3 linked regions of the Macaca fascicularis genome follow. The protein of the gene in region 2 purifies or fractionates together with the protein of the main gene of each other region. This does not show direct contact. Links are inferred from orthologs where the notes say so. Each region holds a gene or a part of one and is shown on either strand. Other genes may lie near its edges. The genes, in order: WASL, SORBS3 and DLG5.

Region 1 (3,645 bases), on a different chromosome or scaffold from region 2:
ACCCTCCAGAATCACTGCCATAGTAAGCCACTGCTAGTGACAGAAGCATGTCATATCTCTCAGCTGTCTTGGAAGCAGACTTTAAGAAGCACTAATTTAGCCTGGGACTGGTGGCTCAGGCCTGTAATCCCAGCACTTTGGGAGCCTGAGGCAGGAGGATCACTTGAGTCCAGGAGTTTGAAACCAGCCTGGGGCAAAACAGCAGAACCCATCTCTACAAAAAAATACAAAAATTAGCCAGGTGTGGTGGCATGTGCCTGTAGTCACAGCTACTCAGGAGGCTGAGGTGGGAAGATTGCTTGAGCCAAGGAGATCAAGGTTGCAGTAAGCTGTGCACTCCAGGCTGGTGACAGAGCAAGAGCAAGACCCTGTCTCAAAACAACAACAACAAAAGATGCACCAATTTACCAAATACCATAACTAAGATCTCATTTAAACTCAGTGAAATACTTCAAAACAGACCAAGATGGTTATCTGATTTTACAAATAAAGCTGAGACCAGGGGTGTAAAAATCTCTTGACTGTTATCTATCAGGTCATATTAGTGCCCAGTAGTTTAGAGGTAGTTTTAGTATTTTGTAATTAAAATCTCATTGCACTTATTGTCACATATAAATATTAACCATAGAGGCTTACTTACAGAAAGGTTTTTTAAAAATAATGGAGACTTCATCTTAGCAAAATGATGTTTTTATGACAACTGTAAGAAATGAATATCTAACAAAGGGTATCCAATCTATAGCAATGTGATTTATGATTGGGAGTGAGGGACATAAAGCTATGAAAATCTGAATATAGTCTATCATGAGAAACAACATAAGGAAAAATGAGTAGCAAACAGATTTTTATAGATATTGAAATGTTTTAAACCTGGGCTAAATAATAGTACATACTGAGCTAAAATATTATTTTGTTGTTCCCTGAATAGACTATGTATGCTAATCTATAATGAACAAGATAGAATAAAAGAGTATCATTAAAAAAATACAGAGTGTAGAGAAAGCCCAAGAACCAATAGGCATAATTAAAAAAAAAAAAAAAAGGCTTAATGCATGGTAGCAGTAGAAAGATAAAATAGGAAACTATTCACATTCTGGCTTCAGACATGTTCCCATTTGGTCATGATTTCCATATGTCAATATCTAAAAACCAAGCTTCGCTCTTCTAGTATCAGTTTATGTACAAATTTAAATATCACATGTAGGATAATCAAATCTAAACTGAATTGTAATTGATATAGAAAACCTAGCCGGGCGCGGTGCCTCACGCCTGTAATCTCAGCACTTTGGGAGGCCGAGACGGGCGGATCACAAGGTCAGGAGATCGAGACCATCCTGGCTAACATGGTGAAACCCCGTCTCTACTAAAAATACAAAAAATTAGCCAGGTGTGGTGGTGTGTGCCTGTAGTCCCAGCTACTCGGAGGCTGAGGCAGGAGAATGGTGTGAACCCAGGAGGCGGAGCTTGCAGTGAGCCGAGATGGTGCCACTGCACTCCAGCCTGAGCGACAAAGCGAGACTCCATCTCAAAAAAAAAAAAAAAAAAAAAAAGAAAACCTAATCACCTAGTTTAAAGTGAAAGCAAATCAAAGCTCACCTTAATGTCAAATATTCTTAAAAAATAAGATCTCTGTGGATTGTCCTTAACAAGACAAGCAACACCACTGCACTTCTTTGACCACATACAGTTCCGATCTGCTGCATATAACTGCACCACTGCTGAAGACATAGTCTGCAAAATATAAAATTTATAACCATTAGGTTCAAAATAGTATGTAGATAAAATAGTATGTAGATGATCACAGCCCCTGCTGACAGCTTGACTGCAGCCACCCAGCTAAGCAGCTCCTAAATTCCTGATTCACAGAAACAAGGAGATAATAAACATGTATTGTTATTTTAAGCCACTAGTTTTTGAAGTGATTTCTTATGTAGCAATAAAGAACTAATATAACACTCACATAACAATTACTGAAAACATTTACTGATGCTTAAAATGTGTTAGAAAATGTGTTAATCACTTTTAAATATAGCCTCATTTAATTTTTATTACTATGATAACCTCATTTTATACTTCAGAAACCCGACACTAAAGAGGGTAATTTGCCCAATACCACACAGCTAAATGGCAGAGCTGAAATTCCAAATCCAGGCAATTTGCGACTTCAAACCTAGCATTCTTATTCCCCCTATTATACAGTTTCCCAATAAAGTGAACATTTAGGCAATGAAGTAGTAGTAACGGCTAACTTCTATAAAGCAGTTAAGCACTTATCTAGATAAGGACTGAGTCAAACGTGAAAGCAGTATTACCACCCTGGAAGGCAGATTATAATATCTTCTTTCTAAAGTGAGTTTAAGATTTTAAGTGATTTGCAGAAGGGGCCACATAGTTTTAATGCTATACTGAGGATACGAAAAAGATCTGAAAGACTACTGTCTCAATTTTACCAAGGATAGTCCCTAAATAGAACCCTTTCAGATGTATAAAAGGGAAGCCAACTGGTTACATGCAATGGACACTTTAGGGCATTAGGATTTCCCAGTACACCATGTTGCCACCTTCCGTCTCAAGACTGTATCATGAAAAGGTATAAACTAATTTTATCCTAAGTTAAGTTTTATAACTAGAATGTAACTATTCAACCTTCAGTTACTATGAAAGTGATACATATATATACTGATAAAGCACTTACAAATCCTCTGAAAGCTGTAATTATGTTTTCTGATCCAGTAATTTCACTTCTAAACTAAAAATTAAGAAAATCATTTAGAATATACTTTGCATTTTAATGTAAATATAAAAATAAAGTATTTCACATAAATATGTATTCTTTTTAAAGAGGAAGAACTGAAATAACCTAAAATAGGAGCTGATTAAGTAATTATGGTATCTTAGTTCAATGGAATTGGGCTCTGTAATAAAAAATAGACTACATTAAGATTTGGAGATACGCTGTTTAAGGTTTACTTAACTATGCCTGAGGGGTGCCGCCCTCTTTTGGTAAGAGGAATTCTAAAGAACAATTGTATGCACAAACCTTTTATAACTGGATACTAAAGTCAGAAATGTAAGATCAGTATACTGTGAGGATCAAAAGTCCATAAAGACTTGCTCATATAACAATGTTCAATGTTATGTTTATTATTATTATTATTATTATAATTATACTTTAAGTTCTAGGGTACATGTGCATAACGTGCAGGTTTGTTACATATGTATATTTGTGCCATGATGGTGTGCTGCACCCATCAACTCGTCAGCACCCATCAACTCGTCATTTACATCAGGTATAACTCCCAATGCAATCCCTCCCCCTTCCCCTCAATGTTATGTTTTTAACATTACAGACCAAACTCAACCTTGAACTTCACACACAATACTGAGCAGGACACAAAGGAACAGAAAAATTTCTACAAGAGTCATTAAAAATTACGATAACTTAAAAACAAAAAATGTGTATACTGGGACACTGGGTTTCAAAGAGAAGACTGAAGAATGTGGGACATTTTTTGGCCTGCTCAAAACACACTTGTGTTTGCAAGTGTACAATCTCAGGATGACAGCGTCATAGGCATCCTGCTGCCAGCACTGAAAACTTCAGAAAAATGGGTCTTGCATACACTATCTAAAGGTATCAAATAC
Region 2 (3,645 bases):
AGGTCCCTCCCCAGAGCTCCAATCACAGGTGAGCCCGTGGCTAATAATGCAGATCCAAACCCAGCTCCGCCAGGTCAAGCTGTGTGGCCTCAGGCAGGCTGCTCTGTCTCTCTGAGCCTTGTTTTCTCCTCTGTTAAGTGAAAATAACCATACTGTCACTATGAGGTGTGAATGAGATCAACAGTCCACTCCTTAGGCACAGGGGACAGGTGCTACCACTACTGCCCTACCTGGGTCCTGTTCCTGCCTCACGCTGGGGGACCCTGTCATGAGTGTGTCAAAAACACACTCCCCAGGACAGGCAGGGAGTCCTCAAGGCCATAGGCTGGCTGACATTAGGTAGAACCACTCCCTGGGAGGGTGGCCTCCAGCCCTTGCCTTCCCCTGCTCTCTCCATCCAGCCACCTTCTTTCCCCTCTGTCCCTGGGGCCAGCTCTTCTGGGTAGCATTCACTATGGTCTGTCTTTGGCTGATTTTGGAAGCATAGTCGCTGCTCCCCAAATCAACCAAAGGCAGACCACTTCTCTGCTTTCTAGAACAGCATTTTTCAAACTTGTTTCACCACAGTCCACAGTTAAAAAGATTTTAATAACAGCCCAGAATACATACATATGTGCGTACACAGAACTGCCTACAGTAGGATAAAGTGCTCTTCCTGCCCGCGACGCACGCTAACGTTTCTGTCTATACCTTTAAAAATGCTGAGTATGATCCACTGCAACCTGCAGTTGAAAATATATATAACTCTAGAAGTTTATGATGATCTTTTAAAAATGGACCAAAATTACTTGGGAGGCTGGGATAGGGGCAGGGGCAGGAGGATCGCCTGAGCCCAGGAGTTCAAGGCCAGCCCGGGCAACACAGTGAGACTCTGTCTCAAAAAAATGCAGAAAAAAATAAAAAAGACTACACTAAAGGAAGCATAATGAAAGAGACTGGGGAAAATTTTGAAATCCTAGGTGAAGCTAGGTACATCAGACTCTTTTTTAAAAAAGTGTTTTTAGGCCAGGTGCGATGGCTCACTCCTGTAATCCCAACACTTTAGGAGGCCAAGGTGGGTGAATTATGAGGTCAAGAGATTGAGACCATCCTGGCCAACACGGTGAAACCCCATCTCTACTAAAAATACAAAAATTAGCCGGGCGTGGTGGCGGGCATCTGTAGTCCCAGCTACTCTGGAGGCTGAGGCGGGAGAACTGCTTGAACCCGGGAGGCAGAGGTTGCAGTGAGCCGAGATGGCGCCACTGCACTCCAGCCTGGCGACAGAGCAAAACTCTGTCTCAAAAAGAAAAAAAAAAATGTGTTTTTAGTGCACATATTTACCTACACCTTCGCCTGCCCCGACCCACCCCACCATCTCCTGCCTGGCCCACCTTGCGGAAGGACAGCTCCACCTCCAGGTCCCCCTTGAAGGTGTACTGGGCCACAGCCTCTCCATACTCCAGCACCTGGTAGGTCGGGGGCTTGATGGGCTTGGGGATCTCATCTGCAGGCAGCACCTGCATGAAGAAAGGTCATGAGAAAGATTTGGCCTTGGCATCAACATAGCACAGACTGGGGGTTCCTGTGAGACAGCAAAGAGAAGGTGGGCCTGCCCCTTGGCAGAGAAAGATATAAACACCAGAAATAAGCCCTGAGGGCAGCCAGGGGTGGCCACAGCCAAGGGGAGCTGGAGGACGGGGAGGAGTCTGGGAAGGCTCCCCGGAAGAAACATTTTCCATAGGGGTATGTGGAGTGGGCATTACTGAATGAAAAACACCAAGAGAAAAGATGGAAGCCAGTCCAATTAGAGAGTTTAAGTTGGACCACAGAAGAAAATGAGGCATTCCAAGCAGCAGGGAGAACTTGGGGAACTGTTCCAAAACTGAGGATTCACCCTTTTCTCACTGCCGAGAACCGGGTGTCCCTGGGTTCCAGTGTCTTGGTTCCTCCTCCCCATCTACCCCAGCAGGAGCCCAGAATCCTCATATTCTCTTTGCTTCACTCTGCCCATAAAAATCAAGCAGCCAATCAACTATTTCACACACAGACAGAAATGACTGGTGGAGTGAAATACTGTATATACTTTGTGAAATTTCAGGACCAAGTGGATTATTGGGCAGGCAAGGGAGGCCTAATGATATCTATCAAATCAAGAGCCTGAATTAAACAACAACCCAACTCATGGGTCAAAGAGGAAGTCGCGAAGGAGATGAGAAAACAGAGTTGACGAAAAATTAACGTGTGAGACACAGCTAAAGCAGCATTCTGAGGGAAATGTATAGCATTGACATTCTTACATTAGGGAAAAATAAGCTTCAAATAATAGTCTAAACTTTCACCCCAAGAAACTTAGAAAAAGAACAAAGTAAACCTAAAGCAAGCAAAAATAAGGAAATAATAAAGAAGCAGAAATCAATGAAATTGAAAACAAAAACAAGAGAAAAACATCAATAAAATCCATAGGTCAAGTAAATTAATAAAGCTCTAGCCAGAATAAGAGAAGACACAAATTGCCAACATCAGGAATGAAAGAGAACATATCGGCCAGGCGCGGTGGCTCACGCCTGTAATCCCAGCACTTTGGGAGGCTGAGGTGGGTGGAACACCTGATGTCCGGAGTTCGAGACCAGCCTGGCCAACATATAGTGAAATCTCGTCTCTACTAAAAAAAATTACAAAAATTATCTGGGCGTGGTGGCGCACGCCTGTAGTCCCAGCTACTTGGGAAGCTGAGGCAGGAGAATCACTTGAACCCAGGAGGTGGAGGTTGCAGTGCACCAAGATCCCGCCACTGCACTCCAGCCTGGGCGAGAGCAAGACTCCATCTCTCAAAACAAAACAAAACGAAAGAAAGAGAAGACATCACTACATATTTTACTGACATTAAAACAATAGTAAGAGACTATAATGAACATCTTTATGCCAGTAATTTGGATAACTTGACATAACTTAAAAGTCACCTATTGCCCTTTATCTGCCAAGCCCAGAACCTCTCTCTGGAATCAAAAGACCTGGATTCAGATTCTAGATCTTTTACCTAATAACTTGTCACTGAACCTTGGCATCCCCATCTGTAAAACAGAGATAAACTATCACTCTCTGAGAAGTGAGAGGAACCAGGGCAGTAATACACCTGAAAGAGGTTATGTGTGTATATGTGATTTATAAACTGTTGCATACTTCCCACTCTTGCTAGTTGCCTTTAGGGTGATTCCCAAAGATAGCTTTAGAAAGATGGATCTGAATGGTGAAAGTCTGGGACACGGAGGGTTGAGGAGCTGGCTGCTGGGTCCTCCCCTTGGCTGGGCTCCACCCTCACTTAGCAAACATTTCCTGGGGTCATGCAGAGCACTGGGCCAGGCCCTGTGGGGGCCAAGGACAATACTGAGACATGGCCCAGCCCCTCACAGTTTTTTGCCTTAGGAAACCCAAGTCTCTCCCAACCCCTGCTTGCTCTTGTCCCTCCTGCTCACCTCCACATAATTAGCAGGGAAGATGCCTAGGCGGCCATGGTGCTCTCCCTCCAGCCAGTTCTTGTCCACCTCCTTGTGGATGTAGACAATGTCACCCTTCTGCAGAGTCAGCTCCCTGCAGGCGAGGACCGCATGGTAAGCTGAGGCCCTCCCAAGCCTCCTTCCCCTCAGACCCTCCCCAGTACACCTT
Region 3 (4,445 bases), on a different chromosome or scaffold from region 2:
CGGCAAGGGTTATTGCTTTGTTCCACCTTGTGCAGCTGCTCAGAGGGGAGTCCAAATCCAAAGTGCAAATTCTGATACTCTTGTTCTTTCTACCATATAATGAGTTCGTTTCCATAAATAAAAACGACTTCTCCCCTTGAAGAAGCAGACTAAGAAGACGTTGCTTTTTCAGGGAAGAGGGGAGGCATGTGGCTGGGACTGGCAGTGTGGGTAGACAAAGTGGCCCCAACCCCCAGCGAGATCCACTCATTCCATCGCAGATGTTTGAAATGGACAGAGGAGCACTGCGGGGTCACTGAGCGCAGTCAGGGTTCTAGCTTTGAAGGACCTTGTCCTGCAGTCAGGGAGGTAAGCAGTATGTGTCCACAAACGGCTGGGCTGTCGTGGAAGAGGAGACATTCTTGGGCTTTAAGGGGGACTGCAGGCCCTTTCCAGGTCATCAAAGGAAGCAAGGTAGTCCGCTGATTTGTCTCCCTCTGAGACATTTAGGGGGAGAGCGCCCCACTTGCCAGAAAGACCAAGGACTGCACCGCAGATGCCCACCTTTCTCTTCCTCATCCAGCGACACACCCTCCTGCCAACATCCCAACTCCTTTAGACTTTGGGAGCAGCTCTTCTCAAATGCTGGCGCGGGGAACAGCCTATTTACCGCAGTTGAGGCGATTTTATTGGGAAATTCTCCACTTAGGTGCTCCTTGGAGAGGAAAAGCCTCATGGATTCGGCGGAGGTGGTAATCTGGAGATGTCCAAATTTAGGGGAAACCTTCCCCACCATTCGTCTCCAGGCTTTAATTTGGAGTTCTCAGTTTAGGACCCACTGGATTGGGGGCAAGATTTGTATGAGGGGGTCTCCAGCAGCTTGTGGGCTGGCCGCGTGCCCGGCCTGACTCCGCGTCCCCCACCTCCGGCTGCGCCTGGGCCTCGGGGGACCGGGAACCAGCCGGCGCCGCGTCCCCGCCTAGCGGGCGGGCCGGGGGCGGGGACCCCTCCCCTCCGCCCGTCCCCCCCTCCGCCCGTCCCCTCCTCCGCTGCTGCCACCTCCCGGAGGGACGGCCTGGGGAGGGGAGAGAGGAGGGACCGGCCGGCGGCGGCGGGGCTGGGGCTATGGCGGAGCGGACGGCGGCTGCGGGGCCCCGGTGAACCGGGCCGGGGTGCACGGGGGCCGAGGCAGCCTCCGAGCCGGGTCGGAGCCGTCGGGGGCCCGGGGAACACTGCCCAGGCGACTTTCTCCCGGGAGTTGTAGTCTCGCTCCGGGGGCGGCGCGCGGCCCGGCTTTCGGGGCGAGTTTTCTCGCGGGGCGGGCGGCGCGCGCGGAGGCTGAGGGGGAGGGGGAGCATGCCCGGCTGGAGCCCGGCCTCGGGGCGCGCCCCGGCCGCCGTCCCCACCTCCGCCTCCTCCTTCTCCTCCTGCGTCTCCTCCTCCTCCTCTTCCAGTCCCGCCGCCGCGGCAGCCAACATGGCTGCGCTCCGGAGCCCGGGAGGCGGCCGCTGCTGAGCGCCGCCCGCCGCCCCGGGCCCCCAGCCCGCCCAGGCCCCGGCCCCAGCCCATGGCTCCCGCCGCCTCGCGGCTCCCGGCGCGCTAGGGCTGCTGCCGAGGCGCTCGCCCGCCCGCCCGCCGGCCTCGGGGGGCCCGGGAGGCGTCCGGCGGGGCGGGGCGGCGCAGCCCGCCACCATGGAGCCCCAGCGCCGGGAGCTGCTCGCCCAGTGTCAGCAGAGCCTGGCCCAGGCCATGACGGAGGTGGAAGCCGTGCTCGGGCTGCTCGAGGCCGCGGGAGCGCTCAGTCCCGGCGAGCGGCGGCAGCTGGACGAGGAGGCGGGAGGCGCCAAGGCGGAGCTGCTGCTCAAGCTGCTCCTGGCCAAGGAGCGGGACCACTTCCAGGACCTGCGGGCGGCGCTGGAGAAGACGCAGCCTCACCTGCTGCCCATTCTCTACCTGAACGGCGTCGTCGGGCCGCCGCAGCCCGCGGAAGGAGCGGGTGAGTGGCAGACCCTCGACCCCCGCCTCTGGGACGCGCCCTCCGCTTCTCCCTCCTGCTGGCGGAGGGGGACCTCGCCGGGGCCGCCGCTCCACCTGGCGATGGCCTTGGTGGACTCGTTCCTCTAGCCCAGCTGGGGAGGCGGCGGTGCGCGGACCCCAAAGTCCCGCCGCCTCCCCAAGTCCCGCCGTTCGCTGTGAACAATGCCCCCAGCTGAAGGCCTTCACCCTCAGGTGCCTCGGCGGCAGGGTCCCCGGGGGCCACCAGGTCCAGTAGCGGGTAGGGGGTACCTCGAAGGATGTTCATCAGTCCCTTTTGTGAGGCTCCTAACCACCCGCTAGTCTTCTGGGACCCTGTGCTAGCCTTTAACCAAGGATAACGTCTAAAAGAATGGGACCTGGGCCAGGACCCATACTCTTAAATTTTGGTGCCTGCCATCCTGTGCCGGGGCCACCGCTGCCTTTTCATTTTCTGGCTGTCCCAGCTCCCTTTTCTCTGCTCAGAGCCCAGTCTCGCCCGGACTTGTGGCTGATTGTGCACAATGCCTGCCTGGGTTTCTTTGGAAACTGTGGGCCCTGAAAAGTTGGGGAAGTTGCATTGCACCATGGGAAAATCCTAGTAGTGGCTGTTGGGGCTAAGTTCCCTCCCTGAGAGCACCGAGCTGCTTAAGGAGGAAGGCTGGTGACTGGTTCCCTTGGGGGTGCCTTTTGGAACCCCTGTGTCCTTGGTCTTGGGGATGACTGATTTGTAAGTGTGTGTTTCGGGGCAAGAACGGATACTGGCGGGAGTTTCTGACAAGTGGTAGGCTTGTCCTGGTCTGGTCGCGGAGTGTGGAGCCAGCCTTTCAGACAAGGCAGCTGGAGGAAGAAGACATGGCACTGAGGGAGGAAGAGAACAAGCATTTATTGGGCATCTATTATTGTGGCAGGCACTCTGCCTTGTCACGTTCAATTGTCGTTGCCACTATGTGAGCTTTCTGTTATTCTTTGCCAGAGAGAAGACTCTGACTTGGAGTGGTTAAAATGCCCAGAAAGTATTGGGGACCAGGAATTTTGAATTATAACCTATTGTTTGAACTTGTTCAGAGCCAGGAAACAAAGTGCCATCTTTCTAGGTCTTGTCCTTGTTTTAACAGTGAATCGATAGGTACAGTAAAAATAAATAAAGATATATGTATAAAAGAAAAACAAGTGAACCGAGAGGGCTGAGAAATTGCCCTTAGCAACTTGAAGGTCAAAGGCTGATGGGACCCGTTTATTTGACTGTTAAAAGCTCCACTTATTAAGGGAATGATTTTATAAGCCGTTCCTGGTAACAGCTCTCTTATATTGGCCATCTTAACCTCACTTTTTATAGCTGCAGGAAACTGGCAGAGAGACTAAACTGCTGGCCACACAGCAGGTCATTTCATTGGTGGTCCTCCTGTCTCCACTTTGAGCTTCTGACTTGCATCTCTGTCCGTCAAACCTGCATTCTTTCCCCCCAGTTGTGGTCATGTCAGAGTTGCTGGGCAAACCTAATCCTTTCCTGGGATAGTGCTTTGGGAGATGCTAGGAAGGGACTGTCAGATGTGGCCATGAGGACAAGGACAGAGGGGATCCCAACAAAGTAATATTTGTTTTTAATTGTATCTGTGTATCTAATCTATCTCTGAAGGAAGAAGTTAAGATCTGTTTCTGGAAGTCTTTCCTAGGAAGCACAGAAGTTAAGAGTACAGGCTAGAAGTCTGCGTTTGGAAGCATGTGAATCAATGCTCACCTTAATCTCTGAGAATAGATTGATTGATGGATCAATTGCCATTAATTAGGTCTCATCCTTTCCGTGCCTGGTGGAGAATGTGGGGCCTCATGGGGCTGAAGTTCCAGGAGCTAGTTGTGACCTCTAAGGAAGGCAGAGATTAGGGTTTGGATTTTATCCCCTCAGGCATTGATTTCAGACCCCAGTTTTACCACAATGCAGAGTTCTGTGACTTTGGAGAGGGTCATGAAATCCTTAGAAAAATAATTTTCAAGGAGAAGTTAAGTTCATTTTATTTAATACATTAAAAAAAAGTTGGCTGGATGTGGTGGCTCATGCCTGTAATCCCAGCACTTTGGGAGGCTGAGGCAGGCAGATCACTTAAGGCCAGGAGTTCGAGACCAGCCTGGCCAACATGGTGAAACCCCATTTGTACTAAAAATACAAAAATTAGCTGGGCGTGGTGGCGGGCGCCTGTAGTCCCAGCTACTTGGGAGGCTGAAGCAGGAGAATCACTTGACTCTGGGAAGTGGAGGTTGCAGTGAGCCGACATGGTGCCACTGCATTCCAGCCTGGGTGACAGAGCAAGACTCCGTCTCAAGAAAAAGAAAGAAAAAAGTTAGTACAGCATTTGGTATGGCAAGATGCCACCTGAAGCCCCTGGCGGAGAGGGTGACATGGTGTGTCAGCAAACAGTGGCGTGTTGGGGGCTTTTTTTTTTTTTTTTTGAGAC

The links.
Region 1: the proteins of SORBS3 (region 2) and WASL purify together in Homo sapiens (co-immunoprecipitation; 3 studies listed by BioGRID and IntAct, with this or other methods). This does not show direct contact. The link is inferred for Macaca fascicularis from reciprocal best matches to the Homo sapiens genes SORBS3 and WASL.
Region 3: the proteins of SORBS3 (region 2) and DLG5 purify together in Homo sapiens (co-immunoprecipitation; 3 studies listed by BioGRID and IntAct, with this or other methods). This does not show direct contact. The link is inferred for Macaca fascicularis from reciprocal best matches to the Homo sapiens genes SORBS3 and DLG5.

Annotation. Positions count from the first base shown.
Region 1 is NC_088377.1:165,352,670-165,356,314, forward strand, and holds part of WASL (actin nucleation-promoting factor WASL), read right to left. Parts: intron 1,732-3,645; coding exon 1,597-1,731; intron 1-1,596. UniProt on the Homo sapiens protein: Regulates actin polymerization by stimulating the actin-nucleating activity of the Arp2/3 complex. Involved in various processes, such as mitosis and cytokinesis, via its role in the regulation of actin polymerization.
Region 2 is NC_088382.1:25,659,857-25,663,501, reverse strand, and holds part of SORBS3 (vinexin), read right to left. Parts: intron 3,591-3,645; exon of another isoform or gene 3,571-3,590; coding exon 3,456-3,570; exon of another isoform or gene 3,405-3,455; intron 1,500-3,404; coding exon 1,374-1,499; intron 1-1,373. UniProt on the Homo sapiens protein: Vinexin alpha isoform promotes up-regulation of actin stress fiber formation. Vinexin beta isoform plays a role in cell spreading and enhances the activation of JNK/SAPK in response to EGF stimulation by using its third SH3 domain.
Region 3 is NC_088383.1:68,536,052-68,540,496, forward strand, and holds the start of DLG5 (disks large homolog 5), read left to right. Parts: upstream 1-1,548; 5' UTR 1,549-1,671; coding exon 1,672-1,975; intron 1,976-4,445. Other genes in the region: uncharacterized protein, read right to left, coding at 808-1,548. UniProt on the Homo sapiens protein: Acts as a regulator of the Hippo signaling pathway.